Linked DNA regions of Oreochromis niloticus. The protein of the gene in region 2 interacts with the protein of the main gene of each other region in a pairwise test. Links are inferred from orthologs where the notes say so. Each region holds a gene or a part of one and is shown on either strand. Other genes may lie near its edges. The genes, in order: esrrga, pnrc2 and dcp1a.

Evidence for each region.
Region 1: the proteins of pnrc2 (region 2) and esrrga interact in binary tests that used the Homo sapiens proteins (3 or more experiments, as listed by UniProt). The link is inferred for Oreochromis niloticus from reciprocal best matches to the Homo sapiens genes PNRC2 and ESRRG.
Region 3: the proteins of pnrc2 (region 2) and dcp1a interact in binary tests that used the Homo sapiens proteins (3 or more experiments, as listed by UniProt). The link is inferred for Oreochromis niloticus from reciprocal best matches to the Homo sapiens genes PNRC2 and DCP1A.

Annotation. Positions count from the first base shown.
Region 1 is NC_031965.2:26,537,848-26,548,568, forward strand, and holds the start of esrrga (estrogen-related receptor gamma a), read right to left. Parts: upstream 5,417-10,721; 5' UTR 5,092-5,416; coding exon 5,036-5,091; exon of another isoform or gene 5,032-5,035; intron 1-5,031. UniProt on the Homo sapiens protein: Orphan receptor that acts as a transcription activator in the absence of bound ligand. Binds specifically to an estrogen response element and activates reporter genes controlled by estrogen response elements.
Region 2 is NC_031976.2:27,487,252-27,497,972, forward strand, and holds pnrc2 (proline-rich nuclear receptor coactivator 2), read left to right. Parts: upstream 1-5,161; 5' UTR 5,162-5,370; intron 5,371-5,901; 5' UTR 5,902-6,121; intron 6,122-6,341; 5' UTR 6,342-6,364; coding exon 6,365-6,835; 3' UTR 6,836-8,338; downstream 8,339-10,721. Other genes in the region: srsf10a (serine/arginine-rich splicing factor 10), read right to left, coding at 10,371-10,629. UniProt on the Homo sapiens protein: Involved in nonsense-mediated mRNA decay (NMD) by acting as a bridge between the mRNA decapping complex and the NMD machinery. May act by targeting the NMD machinery to the P-body and recruiting the decapping machinery to aberrant mRNAs.
Region 3 is NC_031984.2:24,733,955-24,744,675, forward strand, and holds the start of dcp1a (mRNA-decapping enzyme 1A), read right to left. Parts: upstream 5,290-10,721; 5' UTR 5,287-5,289; coding exon 5,107-5,286; intron 4,782-5,106; coding exon 4,741-4,781; intron 3,402-4,740; coding exon 3,274-3,401; intron 1,000-3,273; coding exon 933-999; intron 254-932; coding exon 115-253; intron 1-114. Other genes in the region: cacna1db (voltage-dependent L-type calcium channel subunit alpha-1D), read left to right, coding at 7,027-7,054, 10,041-10,512. UniProt on the Homo sapiens protein: Necessary for the degradation of mRNAs, both in normal mRNA turnover and in nonsense-mediated mRNA decay. Removes the 7-methyl guanine cap structure from mRNA molecules, yielding a 5'-phosphorylated mRNA fragment and 7m-GDP.

The DNA.
Region 1 (10,721 bases), on a different chromosome or scaffold from region 2:
GGGAGAGAACAACCCAAGCAGCGAAACCATAGGGCTCTCCCATGGGCAGCACAACAGAAAAGTGCCAAAGACAGACAAGGGGTTTGAACCTTCACCATTCTCGTGATCCTCTTTAACTCATGGACACACTTTTACACTTTACACACACACACATAGAGACATACACACACCTCACCTCTCCATCTAAATCTGCTCTATTGTGGCCCGGTCTGCGCTGTCTCCTCCTATTAGGACTGAGGAGCAGCATTAGAAGCCCTAAGCACAACACGATGGGTACGCACACACTCATGCATACACCAGTCACCGGATCTAAAGCGTAACTCAATAGCTCATCTAGTTGAAGTTGATAAAATTCAAATTTAGTGACTCCTTTTCTGAAAACAATAACACACACACCAAAGAAACCCCACAATGTATATAGCAATTCTAATAAAACGTAATTTAGTTTAAAGCAATGTTTGTTAAAATCAAACAGACGGATCTACAAAGGGACCTGTGTGCTTTTGACACAGTTCAAATTTGCACAGGTGCAGAACATTCTCTTTTTATTCTGCATTTCTTTAAACTATATACTTGGTCGTAGCAGATTTGAAAAGACAGAAAAGTCAGCAGCATTACGGAGAGTAATTCTCAGACGGAGCATAAATGATTTGATAGAATGTGATAATAGTAATAATAATTGAATTCACATTTTGATGTATGGATGACGGAGATGTATGGATGATGGAATGTGGGGAATGAGAGGATGAGCACTGTGGAGAGGAGAAGAGGAGATAAGATGAGCGACACTGCCTCTCACTATATATCACTCTCTCTCTCTCTCTTTTTTTGATCACCGCTTTGGCATTCAACCGTGCATTCACACACACACACACACACACACACACACACACAGATTCACCACCAATGTGGTGAAATGGCTAATTGCAGTGTGTGTTCGTGTGTGTGTGTGTGTGTGTGTGTCACATCTGGTACAGTCTCCCTTACTGCTCTTTCAACACATAAAGGCCGGCACTGACCCGTGACATACTCTCACACACACAGAGCACTGATGGATTGGACATAAATCAGACAAATTCACATCATCAAGGCTCATCCCATTTTGCTCTGTCATCTCTCAGTGGCTTTCTAAGTGTGTGTGAGACAATGCATTTTTAATATCTGCATCCACATATGTAGATGCATGTGTGTGTGTGTAAGAATAAGCGACTGCATTTTTAAAATTTTGATAACTTTAACCTGCAAATGGTAAAACCTGTGTTTATTGTTATGCATTAGTGTTAAGAGTGTGCGTTGCTGTGGGCATTCATGCTTACACGTGTGTCCAGCGGACCTCCTGGGTGCTGGTGTCAGACAAAAGCAAACCCCCTCCCTTCCTTCCCACTTCGCTCTGTCTGTCTCTCTCATTGCGTCTCTCTCTCTCTCTCTCTCTCTCTTTCTCACACTCTCTACCTCTCTCTGTCTCTTTACGGGACCAAATTACCACTGGAATGCCCGGACCCTTCACATGAGAGCGAGGCCGCCGTAAGCACGAGTGCGTGTGTTTCTCTGCGCGTGAGTTTGCAGGCAAATGCAAAAAAACTGACAGACAACAAATTCCATAGGGACAGACAGGCGGGCAAAGAGACAAAAAGAACAACACTTCCTCATATAGGCCATCAATAGGTCACACATACAAAATGGGAGCATGCAGGCACGAAACCACGGATGGCAACAAACAGATGCAAATTGCACGCTCACACACTCACAGACACACACGCGCGCGCGCAGCCAGCAAATCAGCACGGCACATATTGACATGCTTTGACAGATGAATTAAGTAAATGATTTTATAAGGAGATTAAAAGGATTTTAATTTACGCAATCTCTCTTTGGTCCCCCTGTCCCTCCCTCCAGTCAGCTTTACCTCTCTTTCTCTCTCTCTCTCTTTGCTGCATATCCCCCTTTATAGGCTGAAAAATAAGGTCCAGCGACTAAGATTAAGGAAAAGAAAAAGATGGGAAAAAACCATTAAATGCTCTTTATTGTCTAATCAAAAGCAAGCCATATTTTCTCTTTATTCTGAATAACTAAACATATGTATATTTTGCTGTCGCACATTTAAACAACAAACGGTCAAAGCGTCAGACGGTTGGCCTTCGAGTTAGATTTTTTCTCAATTGAATTTCTTTCTCAGTTTCATATAAAGTAGTTTGCCATATTAGGAAATCAGGAAAAGTACATCTCTGTATGATGGCCAATGCACTTTTCCAAACGTGAACTAAAACAGTGGCATTTGTCGCAGCAGAACAAGAAGCAACACGACATTACGTGTGAAAATTTGATGCCTGAATTATATTATATATACTAGTGTAAGTAAAAAAAAAAGTTTGTTTTTCTGTCACATCTAAATTTAGTCTGATGAACTACTTCAACAATGTTTAACCTGAAACAGATTTTTATTTTTATTTTTTTTTACTCACAATCACAAATAATTTCTTTCGTCTACATTTTCATGTATTTAAAAAGAATTAAATCCAGACACATCAGATTGGAGAATAATTCCTAATCAAATCATTTGTGCTCCCTTGTGCTTCTCTTCATTACTGCACTACAAAACCTTTGCCTGACTGATCGGCCACTGTGCAGTTCTCACCACCCGTCCGTTCTCCCTCACACCCACTGTTAAAAACACCAAAATCACTAAAGTCACTGTGGGAAATATATTTTAATGATATGCAAATGTTATGTATATGGTGGCATGAGGGGAATGCAATTATGTTAACAGCTTAAGTGGTACTTGTTGTTATTATTATCAGTATGATCATCATTATCCCTAATATTTTAATTAGTATAGGAAAGCAGTGCCTTAGAGCAAAGAAGGGAAAGCCTGAGCCGAGAACAGAGAACGGTGGATGGATGGATCGATGGATGGATGAATGGATGTGTGAAGGAGCGGACGGACAGATGACGGGACCAGAGGGCTCTCTAGAAAACGTTTGAGTGGCAACAGCTTACGTACACTTGCTGAATCACACGCAGGTAAAGCAGAGACATCTCATGCTATATGTCTATCAGGAAAGTGTGTTTTTCAGTGAGCATATTGATGCTTGATGTCTAAACACACTTTTCACACTTCTTGTCCACTAAGGAGCAAATCCAGTTCAGAAGTTTTTGAAAAATTTGAATTCTTTGTCTTATTCTGAAAAAACAAAAACAAAAAAAATCAAGACTCTTACACCTGAGCCGTTACAGGTCCTTAAAATCCACCCCACTGTTTTGCAGTTGAAGGACCAACGTAGAGAAAGCTTGTTCAGATGCAATCCACAGGGTTAAAACCTTCAGATTTTGCTTTGCTGGAAATTCAGTTATTCCCTCTAAAAAGGGAACTGAAATGACTGATATTCTCAGACTCTCTAAAAGCTTGATTGGTCATACCGCAACGATAATAAAATAATCATTTAAAAAAATCCTGCACATACATTTTAATTTGTGCTCTTTAAGCATTTACTTGCTCAGAAGGGGCAATTTCTCATATTTGCTTAAATGACATTTTAATTCAAACAGACTGAAAGTTAAAAGACAAATTTTTAAATTAAAAATATAATAAAATAATATTTTAATGTAAAGTAGTGGTACAGTTTATCTCCGTTTATTCTTTTAAAAATGCCTCTATATTCAACATGCTTTACGAGTGAGTGGGGCATGTGTGCTTTAAAACACAAATGATTAGAAAGACTGAAAGCAAATGAAAAATTGCCTATTTCCATCAAAAATGTTACGAATACCATTTTGGGAAATATTACAGTACAACATTTTGCATGAGCTTCTGCTCTGACTTTGTTCTTTCAGCTTTCCCACTTCCGACTCTCTACCGTAAAAAAACACTTAAACTGTGGCTTTGATTTAGTGTCACTCATTCAAATTTAGTTCTAAGTGGAAATGGGTTTAATCTAAGCATGTGTTTTAAATCTATACATATATATTTATAGATATATATATGACCATAAAATCTTTGCTTCATTTATGAGCTTTTCAAATTCGAAAAGATGAATGCCAATAATTTTATACATACAGACAAAAAAGGTCTGTTCGGCTACTGAATCACACACGCACAGTGTCGGAGGAATGTTTTTATCTTGTCCTGTTTAAGAAAAGAATTAAGCAAATACTGCTATGCTTTAATCATTTGTTTGTTGGCTCAAATTTTGTTTTTTAAATAATTGTGCACACAATAATCTAATCAAGCAAACTGCTGTCCACTCTGCCAATCACTTAATCTGCATTTTGCACATACATCTAAAAGAGCAAAGCATTGGCGAAAGGAGCAGCTCAGCAGCACTCGTGTGTTTGTGTGTGTGTGTGTGTGAGTGTGAGAGAGAGTGTGTGTGACTGTCTCTAATTCCTGAGCGGGGCCACACGCTGAGCTGCCCGTCTGAAATTCTACCTCCTCTGGCATTTAAGAGCGCAGCTCTCCCCCTTTTCTCTCTCCCTCCTCTCTTATGGGCCCTTTCCTACACGTTGCTCCTGTAACCTTAATGCCCTGTTATCTCGCGGATTCTCTGCTCGGATGAACACATACTTAAACCACACATGCATAAGCATAAACACATGCACAGGTACACGCATGCAGACATGTAGTGAGAAAGTTTGTCCCAAGAACAGTCTGACTTCAAGTAAAGTGGTTGTTGAAAACAGCGAAAGTGAAAATGGAGTAAACAATGTGTGTTTGCAGGCAGGTGTGTTTGTGCGTATGTCTCACTTTCAGGTGAAGGGACAGAAATTTTGCTCCTCTGCCCACTAAGTAAGAGCTGCTGTCCGGATACTGCAGCCACACACACACACACACACACACACACACACACACACAAAGACAAGAGTGAACGCGTGCTACCTGACAGCAGAAACAACCTTGACACGGTGCCGGCCACCTCCGCTGCATACCAGCACATACACTCACTCACTGACTCACACAGTCACTTACAGTGGAAGACAATGGCAATGACAAGTTGGATGATCAATAAAAGGATAAGAGTAAAAGGTAAAATTTACCTACTCTTGTTCAGAGTGCATTAAAAAACACTCGGATAACGGGTGTCCTACCGAATCCATCGGCGATACCGGGTCATTGTCATGTCAACCTCCTCAGGGTAAATGGCAAGAAATTAAACACAAAAAAAAAAATGGAAGTTTTTTTTTTATATCTCTCCTCTCTCTTCTTTTCTCTTCTTTCTCTGATCTTCTTCTCTTTCGGTCCTTCCTTCCACTTGGAGTGAGCAATACAATTACCGGGCTCTGCGCTGCCTGGACTGATCAGCTCTGCGTGTGTGCGTAGAAGTGAGGGAGCATGTGTATGCAGTGTGTATGTGAGAGTGAGAGAGAGGGGGCTATAGGCACACACACAGCCAGCTAGTCAGGCAGTTGGGACAGAAAGCTGTGCTGCTGTCCTAATCAACGACTTAAAGCCCCGATAGCGGCTCATGAATATTAAGCAGCATTTTGCATATGTAGTCCCTCAGGTCCCAGTTGTGCTGTGATTGGTGGGTGCTTCACCAATAGCTGCAGGGAGGGGCGGAGAAAGGGGTGGAGAAAATATGGGAGAGCGAGAGAGAGGGAGAAGAGCAGGTGGAGAGGGAGGGATCAGACAAAGAGCACGGAGGAAAAGAGAGAATGAGGGAATCAGGAAGGAAAGGAGGAAGCAGAGAGGAGAACGAGACAGGTGCGAGAAAGGTTTAAAGCAAGACAACCTGCTCTCCTTTTTACTGTATTTCTTTCTCTCTTTATCAATCCATCTTTCTGACCTTTCTTCACTGGTCTCTCACTACCCTGGTCACTCCTGCTCACTCCTGCTCTCTGCATGTACCTGCATTGGTAAAATTACATTCTCACATAAACTGCAATATTAAAAACTGACAATATATTTATTTCTAACAATGTAAAAAAAAGTTTTAACCAAAATCCTTTCAAATAAGGTCTGAACCACATGAGTAACACCATGTTATTAGGATCTTTTAAGGACCCCAATATTGATTTGTGCTCAAATGGAAAACACAAAACTGACCTAATCAAATCCAGAGAAATGCAAGATCAAATAAACAAGTGTATGCTTGACCATGAACCCAAAGCCTGAATACTGTGTCACACCGTAAACACACAGGCACAGCGCAGCAGAACCCATCGCGGCCCAGCAGTAAAATATGAGATTATAGCAATTCCAGAGCGCTTGTCCTTTGTTGTGGAATGATTTGGGCATGATTGGAACAAGGTTTTCCCTGCTGCTTGCTGTTTTGTCAAGTTCACTTTCATCTCTATACCAGGAGGCTGTGTATTCCCAGTATTTCCGAGCACCTTGGAATGTGAGCATAGGTACTGCGACTGGGATTCTCCAGGAAAAATTAGCTCACCGCTTCTCAGTTTTAGAGCAAGGAGGAGACAGCGGAAAAGAGAAAAGGGAATGCAAGGAGAGCGGGAAGGGCCTTGTAAAAAGGGGAAAAATCGGAACCCTGTAGGGACACTCTGAATGATACACGCACTCTTTCTGTCCTCTTTCCTTTCTTTTTAACTAACGTCTTCCTCCTTTTGATTAGACTTTTTCAACACTTGGGTACCCCTGCACATGGGATGGCGGGGGAGAGAGAAGTGTGGAGTATAGAGGGAGACAGAGAATGGAATCGGAGGGGGTGGAGGAGGTGGAGGTGGTGGTGGTGTTGTTGGGGGTGGGGGGGGTGGTGCAAAGATGAAAGAGAGTGGTTGTGATTAGCAGCTTTGGAATAGTACAGATAATAAAATATTTCCTGAAACCAATCTCAGCTTTGATGTACATGTGTGTGTATGTGTGTGTAACTGCTGCCTTTTCTTTCCCTGTTTTTCTTTGACAAACACAGAGTCCAATGTTCAACATTTCAACTGCTTAACAGAAAAACTGTTACTAAAACATTGAGGTTAGCGCACTAAATATTCTTCATATTCTTCTTAGTGTAGCGTAGGATATGTGTATTGGTTTTGCTGATAAAGCACTCTAGCTCTAACTCTTACTCTAGCTGCATGGAGAACTCAGTACCTGTTAGCCATAGTACTGTTCAGTTAAATGCCATTTTAAAGGTAATATGATTATAGCTTAATACATGTGTGTGACGTGGAGAATTTTTTGACATTGTGGTGCTGAAAGACCCTGTGAAACTGAGCTTAACTGCCTTCACATGGGCACAATCAGGGTCTTTACAAGAATAAATACATATTTAGAAGTTGTTTCGGAAGCCGACAAAGTAAAGATCCAGAGACCACATACGAAAACAAACACACTCATTGTCACAGACTACTTGCACAGATGTACCTTTGCCATTTACACAGAAGGATAGGAATTCAAATACATGTCTTTACAGATATATAGCTGTTAGGTTTGTGTACACACATACACATGCAGGCATACAAACATACACACAGTTATGATGTATCCAGAGGCTTATAAGCATCGACAAAGATGAGTGTGAATCAATGCTGCCGTCACTACTGTGCAAACAAATCCTTTACCAAAACCTCAGTGTCTAACACACTCGTGCATACACAAGTACACACACACACACACACACACACACACACACACACACACACACACACACACAATCTCTGTTTCAGTGCAGAAAGTCCAAAATGTTCTGCCTAACACATTTATTTAAAATAAGAACTACAAATCATACATTGAATTAAACAATTAGAAGCCTAAACGTCTGTGGGTTGTAACATATCAACGAATGGCTATATAAATATTTGAAGAACAGTGTTTTGACGCACACAGAAATCATTAATATTTGTCTAAGATGAACTGGTTGCGTTTATGGAGGCGTAATTTTTAGTTAGTTTATGTTACAAAATATTCAATGATTCTTTAATTTATGCAGTTTGTGTTGAAAGTGATTTCTACTGACTGATAATTTAAGCACAAGCAGCAATGTGGTAAAACATAAGAACGCAGTCTAAGAATCAGCTTTCACTGTGCATGTGTGGTGAGTGATGCCTTACAAAGCTTTGCCTTTTATGTAAATACAGAAAAAAATGTTATGGTGAGACAATAACATCATGTCATGCACACAACGCCACAAACAGAGCTGTATTCCTTAAAATCCATCAACCAGTGCACACACATAACAGCCGTTACTTTTTCTGTCTTTCTGCCTCACTCCTCTTTTCCTTCTCTGACCCCTATCCTCCCCACCCCCATAGACTATTGATTGACTCTCAGTCAGTGTGTGTATGTTGACAGTGACCCCTTTAGGCCACTTTTCTCTATAACTGGACAAACCATAAACATCTTAAATGCAAACCTTTAACTCAAAAAGCCAAGGAGAGACCTTGAGCATCCACGATGTGTGCATATGTGACTGCTGGGTAACAGACAATATTTCCATGCACAATGCTGCAGAAATATAACTGCAAATAACAACATAAAAACAAAAAATATGCAACTCAGTCAAAGCACAGTGTAAAAATAGCATTTTATCATAATTAATAATTGTATGCATGTGTAAATGGCCTTGCTGGCATCATTTTAAAAGTTCATTTACAATGTAAAACCTATTGAGCTCTGTAACTGCTGGCATCTCATTCTTCTCTTGTCTGCCAGTGTGTGTAAATCTGTGTGTGGGTGTGTGTGTTTTGACCCTGCGGTGGCAGCCTGTTGACATCTATGGAAGAATTATCCATTGCAACTCTCGCTGACATCAATCACACTACTCAATAGGCCACAGCAAGTTCATTCAGAGCCCTGTATTGTGAGCGGTTGTATGTGTGTCTTTGCTGGTCAAAACAATCTTTAACAAATTCAAGACGCGGCCACTTAGGAAGCTGACCCCAGGCCACCCATCGACACATGTGCCAGTCATGAACAAAGTACTAGACTGAGGCAACAACTGCAAACAAAGTACTTTCAACAATAATAAAACAGAGCATTTGTTCTTGATAATTAAAGAACATTTCCTTTTTTTTATAAACATTTACGCATTTAAGGTAGGTTTAAGTAAGTACTACGAGCAGGACAAACATTTGACATTTTAATGTTAAAATGAGGACTAAAAAGCTAAGCTGTACCAAAAGTGAAATGAAGCAATTTGGAAATTTCACACATTACTGAACTTTGCTTTTGTAGAAAAGAGGGGGTGAGGCAGACGGAGAGAGTGAGAGTAAGAAATTGCACTTCACTTCAAGCCAACAGAGGGAGCTATGGACTCTGGTCAGTTTACAGCCAACAGCAGCACAAAGACTCACAACTCGTGTGTCCATGGCTGTTTGTAGGAATGTAACTAAAAATATGCAAGATTAAGTCACAATATCATTCATTGTGAAAGCCAACAAAAATAAACAAAAATACATAAAAGAACACCATCTCTCAAAAACACACACATAATACAAAGCTACACCACCAACAGGATCAGGGGAGATGGAGCTAAGTTATCTGATAGCTTTGTCAGCAGGTACAGCAGAACACAGTGTGGATATGGACAATTTGAACAAAGACCCCTGCCTGCTCCTCCAACCTGAACCCAGAGAGAGAGCTAAAGGCAGGGAGCAATGAAGAGTGAGAAGGAGACAGGGAGAAAAACAGAGCAAGAGAAGCCAATAGGAAAAAGCGAGAGATCTGTAGACTTGAAAAGACATCTCTGTCACTAACGTGACTGATGGCTGTAATAGCAATGAAAGGGTTTGAAGTCACAAGGTGTTATTAGATAAACACTGAGTTTAAGCTGCAGTTCATTTCAGGCTGTGTGAGTGTAAAACAGCAAAGGAAAAAACTTGCCCTCTGGGCTATATATTTTATGTATTATATATTACAGGATATAATCCACTAGGATAATCAGAAAATAAAATACTGTAGTAGTCATAAAGAATTATTTTTTTTAAAAAGGAGTGATGAATATATTTGGAATTATTCATACAAAATAAATATCTAAAAAATGTTTTTTAAATATTTAAAAATGACTTCTATGATCGAGTCGTGTCATAGCAGCAATGTTTGTCTATGTAAACTAAATGGGCCCTAATTACTATGCTACATCCTACTTCCTGCATTGCACTTAACCTCAAATTAGTCATAACAGAGTTAACCAACTACAAATGTCTTAACTTTAAAGAGATTTCCTTACTACAGTAATGTAATAATATCAGCTCCTCACAAGGGCAGCAGAGAAGGCAGTTCAAGTATTGGGTGTTAACTTTACAACCGACATGTTCAGACCAAGTGAGTTTGACTGAGTTTTGGATTTCCAATGAGGTGGAACTATTTGGTTTGGTCAAATAATCAACATTTTACAGGCCTACATCAACACTCCCACATAGCAGCCACATGCTGGCAAAACGAATAATTTGATGAAAACTAATTACCTGACGAACTGAGTGAACTTTTCAAAAGTCATCGTTTTGGTTGCTAAATCATTTTGTGTGTTAAGGGAAGGAGCAGTGATGGCGATCGAGGCCAAGGAGAGAGCACCAGCTGCTGGGGAAAGCTGCTGGGTTTAGGGAGCTTTCTGGAGCCTGTCACCAAAAGCCTGTCTGGGTAACCTTTGGAGAAGGGTACATGAAAGTTACAAACACACACATGCACACACATGCATAAAACACACTAAAGCTTATACAACCACACCAGCGTAGTGAAGTGCCATTGCAACGCATACTACATATACAGTACAGCTGTGTGTGGAAGTGTTCAGGCAGTTTCAAGAACGCAAACACAAAAGACATGACACGTACAG
Region 2 (10,721 bases):
GGACGTCCGGGTCCGCCCGTTGGTCAGCGGCCATAGCGTCAAAGTCTATGCCAACATAAACGGGAGAAACCAGCGGGGGGGATAGACAGTCAGCCACGCAGTTGGACTTACCAGCCACGTGCTGAATGTCAGTTGTGAACTCGGAAATGGCTGCCAGCTGGCGCTGCTGGCACCCGCTCCACGGGTCAGAGACCTTGGACATCGCGAATGTCAAGGGTTTATGATCGATGTACGCGGTGAAACTCCGACCCTCTAGAAAAAAACGAAAATGCCGGGTCGCGAGGTGCAGGGCCAGCAACTCCCTGTCAAAAACGCTATATTTGCGCTCACTGTCCCTAAGCGTGCGACTGAAAAAGGCAAGCGGTTGCCAGACACCGGAGACCCGCTGCTCCAACACTGCGCCCACCGCCACGTCCGACGCGTCGGTGGTCAACGCAATCTCCGCCGACGGAAACGGGTGGGCCAGCAGGGCGGCGTTTGCCAGCGCGGCCTTGGCCTCAGAAAATGCCTGGATGCGTTCAGGGAGCCAGTCAATCGGGTCCTTAGCAGTTTTACCCTTCAAAGCAGCATAGAGAGGCTGCAGCAGGTGCGCAGCTCTGGGGAGAAAGCGGTTGTAGAAATTGACCATCCCCAAGAACTCCTGCAGCGCTTTAACGGACGCGGGACGCGGAAAAGCCGAAACGGCCCGGACCTTGTCCGGCAACGGAACCACACCGTCAGCGGAAATGCGGTGGCCCAAGAAATCCAGAACCGGCAAGCCGAACTGGCACTTGAAGGGGTTGACGATCAGGCCATGTGCCGCCAAGCGCTGGAAAACCTGACGCAAATATGTGCTGACTCTCAGAACAGCTGGCCACCAATATATCGTCAAGGTACACGAAGACGAAAGGCAGCCCGGGCAAGACAGAGTCCATCAACCGCTGAAAAGTCTGGGCGGCGCCTTTCAGGCCGAACGGCATGCGCAAAAATTCAAACAGGCCGAAAGGGGTAATAACGGCAGTTTTTGGGACGTCTTCGGCGCGCACGGGAACCTGGTGATACCCCCGCACCAAGTCAATTTTAGAAAAAATCGAGGTGCCGGCGAGGTGGGCGGAAAAATCCTGTATGTGGGGAATGGGGTAACGGTCGTTCTCCGTGACATTATTCAAACGGCGAAAATCCCCACACGGCCGCCACCGACCGTCGGACTTGGGCACCATGTGTAGCGGAGAGGCCCAGGCACTATTCGAGCGCTGCACAATGCCGAGGCGCTCCATAGCGGCAAACTCTTCCCGAGCGACGGAGAGTTTCGCGGGGTCGAGGCGGCGCGCGCGTTCGAACACCGGGGGACCGACCGTCGGAATATAATGTTCAACCCCGTGCTTCGTTGCCGTGTTTGAGAAATTAGGAACAGTCAGTGAAGGGAACTCAGAGAGCAAACGCTGAAAAACATTCCCAGAAGTCACCAAATTAGCCCGATTCAGGGGCTCGATGGCGCGAGTGAAACAGGGCACTGAAGAAAAAGACTGGGCGTCGATTAAGCGTCTGTTAGCGACATCGACCAGCAGTCCGTGGGCACAAAGAAAATCAGCGCCCAAAATAGGTACAGAGCTAGCGGCAACAACAAAGGTCCATTGGAAATCCCGACCATGAAAACAAACAGTCACGAACCTTTCCCCGAACGTTGCGATGGGAGAGCCATTAGCCGCAATAAGCTGCGGTCCGCAGCCCGCTGCTAAACTGTCGGCGCGGACGGGGGAAGGAGGCTCTTCTGGGAGCCGGAGTCGACCAGGAAACGTCTCCCGGAGCGCGAGTCTTCTATGAAGAGCAGTTTTTCTTTGTCGCCAGCGGTCGCGGCCGCTACAGCGCGCTGTCGGGGCCCGTGTCCCAGGGTCGGAAAAGCACAAGGCAGCAAGCAGCGGCGCGCTCTGGGGCCAAAACGCTGATGGTAGAAACAGCGGTCCCGTCCGCGGTGTCGCTGTGCCGCGACCTTTGCCGCCAGCGAAGGAGCGGACACGTCGGGGCAGGTCAGCTGGGAAGTAGAAGGCGCCGCCGGCGAGGCTGGAACTAGGTCGTGATCGTGGAAAGCGCGGGTAGCCAAGAGAATACGATCCGCGTCCTCAGCCAGGGAGCGATAATCCTTCGTGCCCAGAAGCGGAGAGTTGGCGAGGCCGGCTCTCACGGCCGCCGGCAGCTGTCGGAGGAAGATGTGGGCGAACAGGAATCCCCCGTCGTCCGGACCGAGAAAGGACAGCATGCGCTCCATCAGTTCGAGAGCCGTACCGCCACCCAGGCCTGAGAGGGAGAGGAGCTTCTCGGCTCGCTCTGCGTCGGAGAGGGCATAGCGCCGAAGAAGCAGCTCCTTAAGGGCGGCGTACTTCCCTCGGGCGGGTGGGTCCCGGAGGAGAGTCAAGGGCGAACTGAGCCTCCACGTGCACGAACCACGACGGGGGATCGTGAAGCCAAAAGTCCGGCAGCTCGAGCGGCACAGCAAACGCAGCTGCAGCCGGAGGCAGAGGGCTGGCGGCTGCTGATGCATCCAGAGCGGAGTCGGTGCCACCATCGGACTGCAGCATGTTCGAGTCAGGGGTCACCAATGTGGAGGTAAACACAGACGACACGAGAGCTCTCGATTAACACTCCTCGTTTATTCCTCATCACAACACAACTGAACACTTTTCCCTCCAAAACATAGCAACAACACTTCCTGAGAACTGGGTGTGAGTGGAACCCTCCAGTGGTCCACCACAGTGACATATTTTGATTGTGCAGAAAGTCTGAGACGTTTGTACAGACATGCCTGTGATATTGCAGACCAGGTGTTTATGGATTCATTTATGAATTAATTCACATATAGGGAGGTATTTTCCCTAAAACACAAGATGATAAGATGACAAAATAACCTTATAGAAAAAATTCTAGTTTAACAATCCAGTTTATCCATTCATGGTTGCTTTCATGGTTATTTACATAAATGAAAAGATTTTAACCATAAGTTGATGCAGAAAATTCAAATTATTGCATGAAAACCTGCACTTGGTGTCCCTGCCCCCCAAAAAGTAAAATGAAACCTATACCCGTGATTGCAAGGAAGTCATTAATAATTCAGAAATCATGCACTGCTATTTCTGGTGTGGTGATGCCAGCATTAGTCGAAATAAATAAGGAGTTAAATGTATTTGTACATTTAAACAGCTTGTTAGATTCATAAAGCTGTGAAATAAAAGTGAACTGAGCCTTTGCTCATGTAATGACGGAAAGCGGGAAACCTGAGAGATGTTGTTGAAAACTGCCATTATTTCTCATCTGTTTTGTAAATCAGTGGTTTGTTAAATGCCACATCTTTTAAAAATACATTTGCTAAATGTACTACTAAAATAAAGGGAAACGTGTTGAGGCGTTTTTATCATTGGGTTATTATAAAATGGCTTGAAAGCTTCAAATCTTCAAACTTAGCGAGTCAAACAACCATGCGCTGTAGTGTGCAAAGATGATAGAAAATAGTTCTGTCGACTATACGGCAACAATAATTTTTTCATTTGAAAAGTATTTTTTCCTGTTTGGTTTCAGTGGTTCATACAATATGCTCTGTGGGCATTTTTCACAGAAAACCGTCTGTGGTTAGTACATCTTCAAAAAAAAAAGTGTTATGTGAGTGTACCAACTTCATCTGCACACTCTGGTCCCGTAAAAAGTTAATAACTAAATAAATCTTAAATAACAATAGGGAAGAGAAGGACCTCCAATTTAGTGTGTCTGTCTTACCCAAACCCACTTATAGATCTATTTCACCATGGGTTTCATTTTAATATTTAAATTCTGTAAATTATGTGTTACTTTTATAGCGTATTAAGTTTCTTTGCTAAGTAACTAATGTACAAAAATGGTACTTCCAGTAAAAAAAGGTTTCATTTGAATATATTTACTGAGAGTACAGGCTGTCTTTATATGTATTGAACTTATTCCTGAGCTGTGTGAAACTGCTTCTGTACTTTCCCCACTTCCCTTTGCGTGGGCATATGACAAACATTTTGCACCATTCTAGTTCATATTCATAACTCCAGTCACTTGTTTGTAGGCCAACAGGATGCCGTAAATGATAAGGCCAAAGATAATCCGTAATTTTGTTCTTTTTCTCTGTGTGAGGAAAAAAGTTTCCATCCAACTTTCCAATTCGAATGTACACTATCTGTGTGACGTGTTGACACTGCTTGGCTTCTGCAGCCAGTCAAATATGGCGAGTAGTCCTTTCCACCCCCCCATGTGTTTCTAGCGACCTACAGCGGTCTCTGAGTGACCTACTTTCCTTACATAGCTGACTCTTGATTGGCACACCATTTCAGAGATTTCTTGCTTTGGGGAGTGTCCTGCCTTGCCATGGCCTTCAGCCTTCAGCAGCGTTGTGCAACTCTTTAAAAATCCAGGCGAGAAAAGAAGGCAAGGCTTCAATGACACAGACATTACTTAACCCCTTAGCCCTGCGTGCACTCATAAAACCTACTGGAAGACTTTGCCCATGGAAGTCAAAGTCCTTTGAAAAGATTGGGAGGAAAAGTGAGACCAAAATCAAAGGGACAAACTGAGGGTAATATACGTAATATAGGCCCCCAACCCTTTTTAAGACCCCCACCCAATGAATTTAAATAAAACAAAACAATTTGGGGATGGGCAACCGCTCATAGACATTGTTATTACAGCCTGTTGCTGCTGTGTCAAGTTGGCATAAAAGGGGTTAACCTGAAAAAGCAAGAAATGTGATACAACCAAACCAAAACAGTTTCCTGTAGCACAAACGGTGCTTCAGTAAATCTAAACACTGGACGTGTTTACAACCTAACCGAAGGGGTGGCGGACATGGCTTGGTGTCTTGGTGTTACATAACACTTAACTGCCTCTATGCTCACTCTAAACCTTTATGTAATGTTTTACGTGACATCTGGGGCATTTCCTATCTATTACGTTAACTTCTAGAGCCCGAAAGTGGTATTTTTTCCTTCTTTATTTCACTTCTCTCAGGAAATACCCGAGCTCCAACAAAGGCAAGGAGAGGAGGGTCGGCGATTGACGTCACCAGTCTGGCAACAGGCAACTTGCCGCCTGCCTCTTCGGTGATTGGTTGTTTATTTCGTAGTCGCTTTGTGATTGGTTAGATTTGCGTTGCAAGGGAGTACATACCGCTGCTGTAGATTCCATTTTGTCGCAATTCCGAGTCGGGAGAGGGAGAAGTGAGATCTCTTCACCGGCCTTTAACACCAAATAAGCTTCGAGGGTGACGGATTTGTAGGAGATATAGCTTGCTGTGCTTCCTACATAGTCCGTAGAGGGAGTTTAGAAGCTAACTGTAAATTCTTTTCTGACGAAAGGCTTTAACAACCAAGCCTGAAGAAGTCGGTAAGAAACAGTTTTGTACCTCGTCGCCATATTAAACCGAGTTTCTTTGTTTTGGTTCTGTGCCAAAGTAGAGCGTCCTAGATCATAAAAAAAACGTTAGAATTTTAACCAGTGGATTTGCTAATTAATTCAATGATCTTTTATGAAGGGTATAAATACTATTTCGTTTTATTATTAAGTTACTACACAAGAACAAGGGAAAAATTGGTCGCAGTTTAAGCCCAGCCTGAGCAAACAGAAGTGGGCTATGATGTCGCACTTTTCTTACATAACATTTTCGTGTGCTAATCGCTATAGTTTACAAGTTATATGCAGTGTTTTTATAAATGTAATGGCGAGGAAATGTCATTTTGTCGGTACTCTAATGTTATGTAATAGAATATTTGAAGAAAACGTCAGTTCCCTGTCACACGTCACAACACCGTGAGCGCTATTGTTATGTTGAGTCCTCTCTATTTAGCATATCTAATGGACGTTAAGTCCTGTCAAGTTAGCATATCTGATAAGCGTTTTTTTGTTAATGCCCTGAAGGGTCGGCGACTTCTTGGAGAATCGTGCGCCGAGGTGAATTGATGTTCAGCTCGGCTTCACGAGAAAACAACGCTTATTGGCACATGAAAACCTCAGACCCTGCTGGACACAAATGTGCAGCGAGAGGTAGACAGAAGACTACTTCGAGGACCTGGGGCCCGATTGGAGGAGAAAGATTGAAGAGAGACGTCTACTCGGTTAACTTTTTGACAACAAAGAGGTGAGCTGGCGCTGTTTTTCTTGTGTCCGTGTGGGGGATGGGCGAGCCTCGCTGTCTGGTGTTTCTGCACGTAGTCTCTGTACTTGTTTTTATTGTGATGTGGTGCGCCTGTGCTCGCGGTTGGTAGCCAACAACTTACGCTGTAGTTGCATACATTATTAGCGTGAATGGAAATGTATAACCAGAGTTTATTTTTAATAATACTATTCTCACAATTTAGGTGACACGTAGAGCAAAAGCAGTATGGGAGGTGGAGAGAGGTACAACATTCCAGTTACCCACCCTGAACGCCCTTTGGCCAAGAAGAACCACCAGCTTGGCCGTGCAAAGCAGCGAAGCCGTGACCAGAACGGAGCAGCTGCATCCGTAGGGGGGCCAGGGGGCCTTCACCACCATGGCCACCGACGGAGCGAGAAAGGCGCTGCCTACCACAGGTCTCCAGAGACACGGCAGGCCGTGTCTGCAGAGAAGAATGCTTCTGTCCGTTTTTCCACCAACTATGATCAGAACTGGGAGGGTGCAGTGTCTCATCTCAACACACTCCTGGCAACCCAAGGCAGCCCAAGCTATGCAGGGCCTAAATTCAGTGAGCCACCTTCACCCAGTGTTTTGCCCAAACCCCCTAGTCACTGGGTGTCTTTCCCTATAGGCTCCTGTGACAACAGGGAGGTTATGACCTTCCAGCTCAAGAGCCTCCTGAAGGTGCAGGCCTGATGGGGGTGATACCAGTTCTTCATTTAAAGAAAAAAATAAGCCAATGCATGGACCCACCCACCAGGAACGCCTCAGTTCTGTAGTATTTTTAGCTCTTTTCTTTTTCTCTCCTTTTTTGGCTGACCTTCAAAGTTGGTGGATGCTTGACAGGAGCAATGTTTTGCAATTCCTGTTTACCATCCATTTAAAAAAAACTGATCATTTAAAATTTACAGAATTGCAGCCTTTCTGGTCGGTGATGCCTTTAGTGGAGTTTCTGTGACTATGACAAACTGGATATTCTTTGTACTTATGTTTTGTTTTGCTATTTTTAATCTTGGCTGCCAAGGCAGATTGAGTGTGCTTTTTTCCCCAAACAAGGATGGTAACATTAGTCAGGTAAATTCCCATCACTTTTACGGTCCACTTCTTTGGACAGACGTGGTGTTTCATTTATGTTTCTATGAAGAATGATCTTTGGAGTTATCTCCTTAAGCTTTAGGTGCTAAAGCAGGTTCATATTTGTAGCAATTTTATTTTTTTTTAATCAAGGGCCCACTGTTGTTTATATATCACATTCATTGTTTGGCTAAAGAAGGCACTCAACTGCAGTTCTGCAGGGAAAAAAGATATTTTACAGGAGATGAGCTGTAGTGTAACTACAGGTTAATGGTATAACCTCAAACGAAGGGTAGTAAGAGACCATGGCACACTGGCTTTGGACCACCGACTCACGTACCCTTTTTTATTGCGCTGTGCGCACATGCACTTGGAGTTGAGTGTGTCCAAGGTCTACAGCACTCTTATCATAGCATTATTTTGTATAAGTGCTTTCTGTTGTGGTTGTTGAAAGATGTATAATGTGCTGTGTATAACCAAAGCAATGTTTTGCTTTTCTTTTTTTGGACATTTGGGCGGATGGCAGTGTTGCCATTTTCACTTGCCAACTCGAGGTGAATGGTTTGACGTCTCCTTGATCACCTGTTCATCTGTTCTGATCAGTACCGTTACTGCTCCTCAGTCTGCCTCTTAAGGACAGTGCCTGCAGCTCAACATGCGGAAGGGGGCCTTGCTTAAATGTGGGACTACTGAGTTTCGTTTTCTCAGAAAAAACCCCACATTGCCTGGTCCTGTTGGCTGTATGCTTTTGTGCACAAGGCGAGACAGAGCTGAGGAACATTTCTGAAGCGGCCTAAGCGCCTCAACGTGAGACAGGAGGCTGGTGTTTGTGTTTACAAATAAGCCTCAATGGTTAACTACCCCATAATCAACAGACACTTGCTGCCCGTTGTCTCTTGCACTTCTGTCCCTTAACCTTCTGCACTGCAATCAGACTGTTTTCTTTTTTTCATAAGTTACAGGCCAGGATGCTGTTCAATTAACGGAGGCGTAATTGACTATCTTCTATGGATTCTCTTTCAGTTCTCTGTTGAGGCTCTTTGCTTTCCCTTTGCAGAATTGGAGCCATTTTTGGCCAGCTTAAAGATGACAAAACAAAGTATGAAAGCTTGTTAGTGAGTTCAAGAGCCATGTAAATAATGAACTGTATAAAACACTTGTAGCATATGTACAGTTGCAGACCAAGTTTGTGGCCTGTTTGACAAAAGTATTTTTAGTAATAACACTGAATGTATGAGACATGCTAAGGTCATGTCTTGACTTCAATACTGAAGAATATTTTTGTTAAAAAAAAAAAAGCTGCCTATAGCATCTATCAGTACCCCTACACTCTGATCTTTCCAGAGCTATTGCACATTTTTTTATTGTGTATTGTGCAGTGTAGGTTTAAAGATGCTACATGGGAAAAACAAGTAAAATAGAAAAAAAAACTCAATTGGACTCTAGGAGACTTGCATATGTATAGATTTGAGTTGTGAATGTGCTTACAATGGTGTGTAAGCATAGCACTTTTTTATTATTATTTTTTTTTTTTTAACAAAACAGAAAAACTTTGTGCCTAAGTTAAAACTCATTCTGAAACTGACCATAATCATTGGTGGAAATTCCCAAGTTGACCAAATATTTTCCAGACATTTTCGGTTCTCGGCTGTTCTTCCGCCTGCTGACAATTGAAAATGTCTATTATTCTTTTCTTGGTTCATGTAAACTTTTTTTTATTTTCCTGCCCAGACTAAATCATACATGGCAGTCTCCATATTCAAAATTGAAATCTTTCAGTGAATTGGCTTTTTAATTTGTCCCTCGGATGAAATGTCACCAAGAACAATGAAATGTGCCCTGTTTACGATTGGTGTTAATTTGTTACAAAATGTAAAACAAGAAAGCACTCTTTGAATTGATGAAAAACTTGAACGAAAAAAGAAGAAAAAACTAAAACAAAAAATTAAATCCCCTCCCCTACCCCCCTACTTTGTGTTTTGAGTATTTTTGACTTGATATAGTAACACTTGTTTGACACTACCTTTACAACACAGCTTATTCAACTAGAGCAGTGTAAGAATGTATTTATTGACAAAAGATATCAGGTATAACAGTTTAAACAAGGGAGTTTCTTAGGGACACGAAAAACAATTGATTCTTATCTTTAGTATATTATTACATAACAAAATGACTCTATTATTGGGTACCAGCTGTATCAGCATATCTTTCATTGTCACAGCAATCACAATAACTATAGTATACAAGTTGGCCTGCTGAAATTAAACCAGACATTTAAGACTAGGGCATGTTGTGAATAATGGCAAAACAGGCCTTCAGTTTAATTTAACACATGTATCAAAAGAAAGAAAAAAAAAAAACAAAGGGCAGGAGCCAAATGTGCTTTCCTTACAGACATAACAAAATTGTTTATTTACCTTTGGCAAAAGATTCCTCCGTATTCAAATAAGAAATGAAAGCAGGAAGCACAAGACTCCTTTCACACATGCACACCTTTCTATAAATACAACCTTTTAACATGTCTACTTGCACCCTGGTCTCTTCATAAAGGTCATAACAGCAGTTCTTAACAGAGTTGGACCTTGAAGCATTCAACTTTGAGTGCATGCAGTTGCATTTATAGATAGTGACGCACAAAATCACTGCATGAGTTCCATAGCTCACTACAGTAGTAGCTTATATCCAATCATTTAAAAACAAAAAAACAAAAAACAAATTTACAATAACTTCAAAGTACTCTTATGTTACATACTTTCCCAACCAGAAGCTAGCCTTCTCTCTCTGTGTGGGAGGGAATTGGTGCAGTTCTCAGCAGCAAACGCAAAACTCTTAGTAATAAAAGCAACAATGGCAGAGGGAACCAAATGTTATACACACTAGAGTCAATACTGATAATGCTTGTAGCTACAAAAGCAAAAATCTTGTGCACACATACTGTGGTTCTCCTGTCACTGCTGCTTGTACGTCTGGGGAAAAACAAACAAACAAAAAAAACCTGGGAGGAACGTAACAGAACATTATTAACCAGTTAATTAATCATGAACCAGATTAATGAAGCCAACAATGTTAAGTAATGCATGTCCAAAAATGGCTAGAGGTGAACATTAAACAGAACCCTCTAGAAAAACATAAACAGAGGGCTCTGGAGAACAGTCTGTCAGTGGCCTCCAGACTTGCGTCCAGCCCAGGACCTGGAGCGAGAGCGTGACCGGGACATGGATCTAGAGTAGGAGCGTGATGGGGATCTCCTGACAGACTGTTTCTGGGATGGGTGGAAGTCTTCGGCAGGGCTGTGAGACCTGGACTGGCTCTTTTTACCTTTTGGTCTTGATCTGGACGCTGACGGGGAGCGGGAGGTGGAGTGTGAGGCTGTTTCATGGTGCGTTCTGTGGTGGTCACTGGGAGGAGCTTTGTGCCTATTGGGATTATCATTACAGTTACTATTATTACAGAGTACAGTGCCATGTTTATATGATTACTGAAATACAAGAGGACAGAAATGAGCCTA
Region 3 (10,721 bases), on a different chromosome or scaffold from region 2:
TTTCTACAAATTATGGCTCAAATTCTGTCATACACTATAGTTATACATCATGTGATCATACTCGTGTGATAACATAAGTCAGATGCTACGTTAACTGTCTGTTTGCCACCTCACCCTCTGGTATTCTTCCTTGGCTTTGCTGAGCAGCTCCAAGATATCGATGCTGCGGGGTTCTGCGACTCCATTGGTTCTCCCCGGCTCTGCCCTCTCAGGTGACTTTTTCTGGGCATGGTCTGCTTCTTGTTTCACAATCCTGGCACAGAGTTAAAGCATGACATATAGCCTGCACACACAACTGTTGTTTGTTTAGTCAGATACTAAGTACTGATCATGTTGGGGTCAGAGCTAATTTACTAAACAACCTTACTTTGTTTTTTTAAGTGAAATTACTCAACTTATACAAACCATGCAATGAAAACCAAAATATGAACTAGACAATCCTGGCCTTCACAAACTGCATCTTTGCTTCACAAGAGCACAATACTGGCACAAATCAACAGATTTCCTAAGTGGACCAACAGATTTGTTTCCTTTTACTGCACCGTAGTCAACTTGGGAGTGACGTGACTGCTCCTTTTACCTCGCAAGATGGAGATGGCAGCCTTACTTTTAAGGTGAAGCCTGAATCTTACATCCCGCTGCTTTGTTGGTTCATGGTCTCATTTGCTTTTCATGGGGCTCCTATATTTCTGTTTAATTTGAATTATTCTGTATTGAAAACTCCTTACACTGCATCAACTTCATGGCATCTTATATGCCGAGTTCTTTAAACCCTGCATTTAGTGAACATAACAGACCTCCACATTTCTAGAAAGTACACATGGTAATTCATTGTGGAAATACAAATCAAACTTGATAAGTGGAAAAAACTGACAAAAGTAAAGCCTTGCCCAATTTCATCCACTTCATCCATCAAATGTCCGGTTACTTACTTGACCATGAGCTGAGCGATGCGTTGACAATCCTTCTTGTCATAGAACCAAATACTATAGATACCCACTGTTAAAAACAGACACATAAAATGCATTTAATAACACTGACAGCAGACATCAGTTTATACAAAACTCTTTAAAACAAACCCAAACCTTCATAAATACAGCTAAAATAACTATGTGTTTTTTTTTAAAACCATTAATTTAGTCAGCTTTGTGACTTAATGTAATTGAGCCATCAAAGAAAACACTGAAAACAACACTAAATGAGCACTGTACATGACTGCACATTAGTGGACCTTAGGATCAATGAGAATCTGACAGTTCAAAGCAGTGAAGTTACAAAACAATCAAATACAAAAAGGAGAAGTTCATTTTTAGCGAGCTAACACAGCATTCACCGACACCAACTGGAAAACAAGCAAACTGCACATTTGCAGTTTCTGATGAAAAACAACAATTTTATATGAAGCTGCTCGTGCTTTGTATGTGTCTATGTGATGAAACACTGGTGTATTCAAGTTCCCTCTAAAGCCTGAGGTAACCTAGCAACCCAAGCGCTTGCCTCCCTGGAGCATCCCCTGCTACCAACGGGAACACAAAGTGTTGTAAACAGGTGTATGCACGAGTCCAAGTACACACCTCACCAAGACAGACATCTGAAACTTTGAGCGCACGCATCAGTCTGCAGATGTGTTTGAAAGAGATTTCAAACACACTTGGAGCAGCATTAACATCCCTCTGAAGAATCCATCCTCTCTGTGTTCGACTCTATGCTCTTCAAACAAACATCTTTCAGCAATATCAGCCTTCATTATTTTTAATTGGAGAGAGGAGTCTCAGGAGCATCATCTACATCCTGCTCTCACTTTCTCTCACAAACCTGAACTCTACCTGGAGAGCAATCACAAACAGCAAAACAGACTTCAGGCAGAGAACAAACAAAGGCTCCTCAGCCTGTAACTTATCTTACTGAAAAGATCAATTGGGCAGTGCAAACCTTCATGTGGAACAAATGATCAAAGACTGTTTACTCTGACCCGCCTTACAGTGACCATCAGCTGTCAGACGAGCATCTTCACAGACTGAGGAATACCGTCAACCACTTTATCTGCCTGCAACTCAACACACTTTGAGGAATTAAAATGAAAACAGCAGCACTCGGACTCCTGTGAAGCACCTGGAAAAGCTGTTCCGACTCGGATACCAACAAAAAAAAATTACATCATGTCTTCCATACCAGGCAGGCTGATAGGCAAGCCGAGTCCTAAAGGGGAGCAGTCCACTCTGACGCTGAGCCTGGCCATGTTATTTTTTCTCATTAGCAAACAAATGGGAAAACAATCCAACTCCTTGTTCATTGCCTTAATGAAACTTCTGTTCAGACTTTTGATAGATTACCTCGGTGGGAGCACTGTCAGTTACTTTCTGAGGATTTGAGGATTTATTTCAAGCCTTTTCATCTGATCCTACTCCCTGCTAAACTCTCTTCATAACGCTAGACGATTTCACTGGAATAAGTCATCAGGAAAAACTGCAACGCACATAAAAATATTTATATAGTAGAAGCCTAATTCACCCCTTAGAACCCAAAGTCTTTTTGTTTGTTGGCCCAATACAGAATGAAAACTGTGGCCAAACCAAGCTGAATACTGTGTGGTTTGACAGACCAGTCTGAGGCCATGAATGACAAGGTCTTCCTCCTTGATTCTCCAAGATACAAGAAGGACTTCAAGCAAAAGGGAGAAGAGCTGTTCCAGAGAACACTGGGGAGGTGTCTGTCCAGCATTTTCAAAGGTACTAATGTGTTCTGGCATTATTGCGTTTGAGCAGGAAAAATTAAATAAAACCAATACAGCAAACAAACTTAAAACAAAATCTACAGGTAGAGAAATGCAGAAATTCTTTGAACACAACATTTTTCATTTTTTTAAGTTCATGAAATAAAAACTAAGAGTGCAGTAACATTTAGAGAAAGGTCGAAAGTTTACTGTCTGTTTGGATATTTACTTTTTTCAGTTAACGTGTAATTTTTCTTGTAAATTATCATCTCTTTTTGTCTAAAGCAGAGCCTTTCAAAGCTATGGTATGTGTTTCTCTTCGACACTACCTTTTGTGATACAGCACAATATTATGGAAGAAACATTGTACTAGAGAAATATTATGTAGCTGAGAAACATTGGCTGATATTCTGGGATAGTGGTCTTTTTTGTTCCCTCAAACTTCGAGAAGCTGTGAAGTACTGCAGCACATCCGATTTCAGTCCAAGCATACACAGAAATATGTATCTCCTGTACATGACATCTGCTGTTTCTGTGTAACTGGACTACAAAACACTCACAGTTGCCATTTCTGTAGAGCAAGAATGGATCCTGTAGCTGAAACTCCAGGTCTTTATTGATTGGTTCTACAAGGTTCTCCGTGCTCAGTCGATTCATGATGGTGAAGCCATGGTGAGGGGAAGCAGACCTTTCAGGGACAAAAAACATAAAACATCACCTCACTGATAAAACATCTCTCTATGTCGATTAGTTTTAGTCATCCATGAATGATTTTTTATGACAAAGAATTAGCACATCTAAAAAAAAAAAAGTTCACTGATTTTCAGATCAGTTTGGCCTTTTCATCCCATTTTTGTTTCTTTAGAGTGGCTTCTTGATAGCCACCCTTTCAGTGAGATCATTTCTGATGACACTACAGTAAACAGTGCATGGATCAATTGAAAGACCACATGCATCTTTCAGGTCCTGTGGCAGGTCATTGCTGGACATAGTACCGGTTTTGTACTGTACTGTTCTTGGCATCCTGAGCTTACTCCATGGCCTCATTCTGGTAGCACATGACCAGAACACCGTAGTTGCCTAGTTTTCAATGTGGAGGAGTAGCAGCTCAACTCTGAGTCCCTTGTGAATAACTGAACTTCTCATCCTATCTCTAAGGGACAGGCCAGCCACCTTTTAGATAAAACTCATTTCAGCTGCTTGGATTTGCCATTTCATTTTATTTATTTATTTTTTGGGGGGCATTTTTGCCTGACAGACAGAACAACGAAGACAGACAGGAAAGCGGTGTGTGTGTGTGAGAGAGTGAGTGAGTGAGTGTGTGCGGGGGGGGGTCAAACCCTGGCTGCTGCTCTCTGGCCATGTGGTCACCTAAACTGCCACGGATGGCTGAAGGTAGGGATGTAAGATTGAAAGTTTCCCTTTTGGACTCTGCTCTTTCTTTACCACCGCGAATCTGTAAACCCCGATCAGTCCATCAATTTCACGCTCCCCTCTCCCCTCAATTGTGTACAAGATCCCATACCTGGAGGGAGCACTCCACCCTTTTCCAGCTGAGAACCATGGCCTCAGGCTTGGAGGTAGGTTGTAGGATTCTCGTTTACTATATACATTTTGTAAATGAGAATTTCAGAGAATTACATAATTCTCAATTCTATGAAAGATATTCATATTAATCAATAACCAATTAAATCGGTTGCTAACATTTCGTTATTTTCAAATGAATACGTGAACAGCCCTCAAAACAACGATGCGCATTAAAGCTGTTTATCAAACAAGTCTTTACACTTCAAGTGGAATTAATTTACTAAAACTTTTACTTATTAATTTCCTATTTAAACAGGCTGCAATTTTCGTTCTGTGAGCGAATAAAAATCACACGTAATCTAATTCGTGTTTGTTTACAAAGACTGAGGCCTGCACACGTGCGTAGAACACGTCAAATGACAGCGCGTGAAACGTAAGAACAAGTAAACAAGCCCTCGCGGTCAACGCGTTACATTACTATAAAAACCTCACGTGCTTACCTTGCATAAACAAACAGGGTGCCCTCGATTTCAGTCTTCTCCTGTAAAACAAAAAAGTGAAGGTATGAGTCAGAAACTATAAACATGCTGAATAATAGCAAAGGACGCTGTTAGCCCAACTATAGCTAGCGCATAAAAGATTACGCTTATTGGCATTTAAAAAAAATTAAATAAAACAATTATCAAAATGACAGTGGTGGCAAAACACAACGTGTGTAAGCATTACCCGAATAAAGTTCACTTCCACAAATATGATCAAATTTCTTTGTATTTTTTGTTTATACAGAATAGCTAGCATGCTAAGTCAAATACTTAGCTAGCTTTGACGGCTTTCTGCAAAACTCTGTACGTTACTTACAAACTTACCCACTCATTCGCCTTGGAGTTAAAGTTATAGAGAGCCACCTGGCCGGTAACATCGAGCAATTTGTTTATGTATGGATCGTGCCTCTGTAGAGCAGCTAAGCTCATCATATGTCCAGCATTTACGGTCTCCATCTTGGATATGATTGTTGCTCCCGCACGGACGGAATTCAGCAGACACATATAACTTCCGATGTCCCCGGAAACCACGGCTCTTTAAAAAAGTTTCCGAGGCACTGATTTATTCCGCATATTAATTCGAACTGTAATTCTGGTCAGTCGCATTTAGCTAGAGCTTAAATACAAAATGTTTGTACGAAAAAAAAATCTGGTGACTCTTTTGAGCTTCAAAGTCGATCAAACAACGACAACAACAACAACAACAATAATAATAATAATAATAATAATAATAATAATAATAATAACAACAACAATAATAATAACTCATGATAATCGTGGCATGATTAGATATTTAGGATAGGATATAATTTCCAAATAGTAAAACCTATTTGAGGAAAACCTGTTAAAGAAAAACGATATTTATAGCTGTGTGTTTTAATTCTGAACCTCTGTAACACTTTATGTCTTCTTTAGTTTATGTTCTTTATTTGAAATCGCACTCATCTATAGTCACGTTAATTCCGAACTTTATTCGAAATGGCAGACTGATAGTGAAAAGTTAAAACGCCCCTGTGTCCTGGCGTGACCTCTTTGTGCTTATTGTAATTATTTGGACATAATACTTTAAACCCATTGCATGCATAGTGGGATTGTGCAGGATTGCCGTCCGGACCGAGCTGCAGCTGCCTCCCTCACCTGCAGTTTATGGAACAGTGGAGCAGGATTATAATCTGGGGATTACGCGCCACCGTGAAACTTTATCCCGCAGGCTCAGGTAATCCAATCACGGGTAACCTTCCAGCACCGCTCTAACATCCCATTTCCTCTCGAATCTTCGCGGAGAGAGGACAGAAAAAAGCGCAATGAGGCCCCCGAGAAGAGCCAGGTGATCTAATGCCGTTCATCATAAGGGCAAGACCCCTGAGGGGTAAGTCCGAGCGTTTAACTCTTCAGATGGATAGGATAGGATACGGACATGGTGTTCATCCTCAAATACAGAAATTTCCCTCTTAAGGGAAAGTATAGTTGTCACCATTTGTTTCTAGCAGATTGTTCACTGTTCCGACTGGTTTCTTTTGCGTAGTCACGTGTCTCATGACCTTCATCACAGCGCTGAACCGAATCGTAAAGAATAAACAGATTCGGAGGTTTTGAGACCCGTGGATAGTTTTAAAGTAGAGACAGTCCGAGGTACACGGTTGTACTTTAAACGACCTTTAATTGCAGCCTTGCAACAGTTTTTAATTTAGGATCATACAATATATATAGTGAGATGGATATACTGATTTCTCCCTGTCTTCATTGCTCTCTGATGTCATCGCACGACTTTATTCTCCAGTCAGCTGTTTTGTTTTTAGAGGGTTCTTTTTAAAGCAACATCTGGCGTCTAGAGTTAAAAACATTTTAATGTTTACGTTGAGATGATCGCATTCGCTCTTTGCAAGTTTCCCAATAGGCGGCAACAGGTGCATTTCCAGTTGGTGGGCGCGCGTGATTTCAGCACAGTGGAGCCCACGCGATTGCTCCAACTTGTGTCAGTCCGTCCCCAGCCACAGAGAGGATAATTGACAGCAGTGGATTGACTGCCCCTGCCAGCGCGTCCTCTCGGATACGCCGTGAATCTGCAGGCAGGCACCCGGATGTGGCGAAAATGTTTGGCGCTCCTCTCAGGGTCTGCGCTCGGAAAACATTTTATGATTCAGGTTAAAGGCTCTGTTCAGGTTTCGCGCCTTCGACACCTTCGGACGGTTTTTCCAACGATGAGTTGGATTTAAAACGGATCTTTTCGATGTGGATTCGAGGATGCAAGAAGCAGATGAACAGTCTGAAGGTAAAAAAAAAAAAAAAAACCCCAAAAACGTGCGTGTGGAAGCGCAGGAGGAGAGTTGGAGCGCAGCAGAGAGAGAGGGAGAGGGGGCGAGAGCGCTCGTTCGGTTTATTCTCTGGATTTCTGATTAATCCGTGTGATTATATGCTTTGAGTCGTGGCTGCTGCTGACATGTTTTTTTCCCTCCCCAACTTATTCCAGTGCAGGGATTGTGTATTAACACTGTAAGCGCTTGTAGGCTACATTATTGTGATAACATCAGTTCTCAGATCCACTGGGAAGCGAGTTGAGGCTAGTTCTCCGAAAAATGGTTGACTATAACGGTCATTCTGAAACCATGTGACAGGGTGCTTTGAATATATTCGCTCTCCAGAACAAGCTGCGAGACGCTAAATGAACTTTTTAAGTAAATTCCTTCTCTTCTAAGTTTTTCTTTTAGAGTTTAAAAGCTGTCCAAACAAAAGCAGCAAAACTCGACCACAGCAACATAGTCAACAGCTGTTTTCCAGCATCTTGTGACAGATGTGCGACATCCAACAGAAGCGCTGGGTTAATTCCTTTTACATGTCGGACAGGCTGTGACTATTATTAACTAGCAGCGTGCACTTGTTCTGCTGCACCTGTGGTGGTGGTGTATCGCTGTATGAGAAGGGGTGGTGATGAAATGTTTTGAATGCACCTCTCACCTGCGATCGCGCTGACATCAAGCGCAATTAAAGTGAAGTGATGTTTCGGATAGACTTCCCCGCATAATAAACTATCATGTTTTGACTACACCGTGAGCGTCGAGTCATGGTGACTATGATTTTGCACAGACGAGCCCAGAATATTGATGAAAAGTAATAAAATTAAGTAGCTTGCCTGAAATCTGATAAAGGAACCAACTTTGTGTAATCATTACCTTTTAAAAGAAAAGCTTTATTCTTCTCAGATTTTGTGCCTCTCTCTCATATTGCACATGACCCACACAAATAGATTTCTCATTTTTTTTCTTTCTTTTTCTTTATTTGCTTAGTTGTGTGTTGGAGCTGTTTTTGCTGGATGACACGGTCAGTCTATAGCTGACAACACTCCCCGATGTGACTGTGCTATAGAGTTGCAGTGTGCGACTGTGTCAAGGGCACTGTCTTTTTAGCTCATGGTCTGCATTGATTTTAATGACGCTCTCTGTCTCTCCCATTCATGCAGGCTGTTCTGCTTTCTCTTTCTATAGCTGTCTTTTCTGGGCTCCTTTCAAGCCCGTCATCACCATAATTATAATCACCATAATCACTTCTTCTTATTTTTCTGCCCATTTTATCTCTGGATGGGTTCTTAGAGGACAGTTAATTGCATGTTCAACAAGTAATTGTACAAGGCAAGTTTAAATGTGAAGTAGTGATAATGTTGTCGACATTATATATGTATGTCCACTGCCCTTAGGATCCTAATAGACTTTTGCAAAAAGCTGAAGTGAAATTCTAGCAGTTATCTTCAGTCGCCTCATTCATAGGGAAAGCATGTTGATGTCCTTGTTTGAAAAGCACTTTAAAGACTGACTGATTTTTAAGACCAAGACTATGGGTATTATTTATGAGTCCTATCATGACAATATTGTTTAAAAGTAATCTCATTTTATTGTCACAGCAGGTTGTGGATTACACCTTTATGTGACCAGCTGATCGTTGAATTTGTAGACTTCCATCACTTTGCCAACAGTGAAAATGCAGAGTGCTTTCTGGTGGGCAAAAAATGCAACATCCAGACTAATAACATGGCTGAAGGGTATTTTTCCCATCGCTTGTTCACTCTTACACTTTGAATTTATCAGCCATTATATAGTAATGCCTCTGCCAATATATGGACTAATAGCTAACATAGCCAATATATCAGAGACATATGGCAGCTGATATATCGGGACCCAGCCAAATATATATATATATATATATATATATATATATATATCGTTTACACTTAATTTCTTTTAGATTTTATTTATAATTTAATAATAACAAACAAGCAAAACAATGTAATGTTCCTCACATCCACCCCTAAGATTACAGGTACAAGACAGAAAAACCCCCCCAATTTGATATAATTACATAAACAGTATAAATGATAGGGATGGGGGGGAGTCATTCTCCTTAACTCACCATCAGTTCATGAGTGTGCCATTATTATGTACATTAATAAGACAAAAACATCTGCATTATGAGTGAAAGGCAGCCAGGTGGTTCTGAATCTTTCCAGAGACTTGGCTCTACTGTAACTCAGTTTTTTTAACACAGCATAGAAAGCATTTCTCTGACCCAGATTTTAAAGGATGGAGTCTTGTCTTTTTGACAATGCAAGAAAATACATCTGTGAGACGTTAAAGGAGCAAACGCAATTGTCTTTGCTGGTGCTGCGGAAATCGTGACCTCCAAAGGCAGGAGAGCCACAAGATGGAGATATATGGAGATGCTACTGTGTTTTGTCTACACAAGAATGTCAGGGCCTCAAAAAATATTCTTCCGAAAACTGTTCAATGATTGGCTGTGGCAAAACATGTGAGCTGGAGTGGCTGGTTCTTGATGGAAGTGTAAACACGTTGAGCTAATATAAGAATATATTTCTGCAAGTTTATCATTTGAATAGTGTAGATTAAGAACACATTTTAAGCAATTTTTCTAGAACCCCCTGTGGAGTTCAGTGTTTTTATCCTGTTTGTGCCTTTGTTTTGCCCCATGAGCGTAGATTCATACTCTGAATATTAGTGTAGATTTTGGATATGTTACTTTTTGTATAGGGATCCAAAGTAAGTGTATCATCTGCATTATTACTGGCTGGCAGATATGAGCCTTAAATGCTTGCTAAGAAAACTTCTGACTTGTAAAAATGTGGAAAAAATTGGATTTTGGAATGTCGCAGCTTTTTTGCAGTGCCTCCAATGACACACATGTTCAAGTGTTTTTGTTTATAACTTCAATCTCAAAATGTTTTATCCTTGTTTCCCATTCGCTCTCTCCAGGGGCACAGTATGCCAGCAACAGAAGGACCACTCCCCCAACTGACACCTCAGCTCCCTGGTCAGAAAGAAACACCCATCTGCACCAGCTCCATCCATCACAGTCACTTCATCCTCCAGCTAGCACCGGCAAGCCCGTCGGCTCCGCTCATGGCCTCCTCGGGGCCAACAACTCCATTCAGGGCCCCGGTGGAGCTGCCCCCGGAGTCAGCCCGGTCCTCGCTTGGCATGCCGCCATTAGCGCAGCCCGGCAAGCGCAGGGCGATCCTGAAAAGCCCAACATAAGTTCACGTCCCTCAGTTTGTACCACTTCTGCACCAGCTCCTGTGGGCTCACTGGCACAGAAGAAGAGGCAGCAGTATGCCAAAAGCAAAAAGCAGGGAGGATCCACCAGCGGCAGACCGCCCAGAGCCCTTTTCTGCCTCACCCTCAACAATCCGATCCGCAGAGCCTGCATCAGCCTGGTGGAGTGGAAGTATCTTTTAGCCCAGGGACCAGCAGGTGTCTGGGTGTCTCAGTGCATTTGGTGTCTTTGTGTGGATGGATTGTGTCAAAGAGCAGAGAGTGAATGAAAGTATAAATGAATCTGTCAGTGAGATAAATAGCTCAGTTGCATGATTTGAAATTGGATGCTGATTCCAAATTCTGAACTTGTAATTAGAAGGGAGGGTCCATGGAGACGAG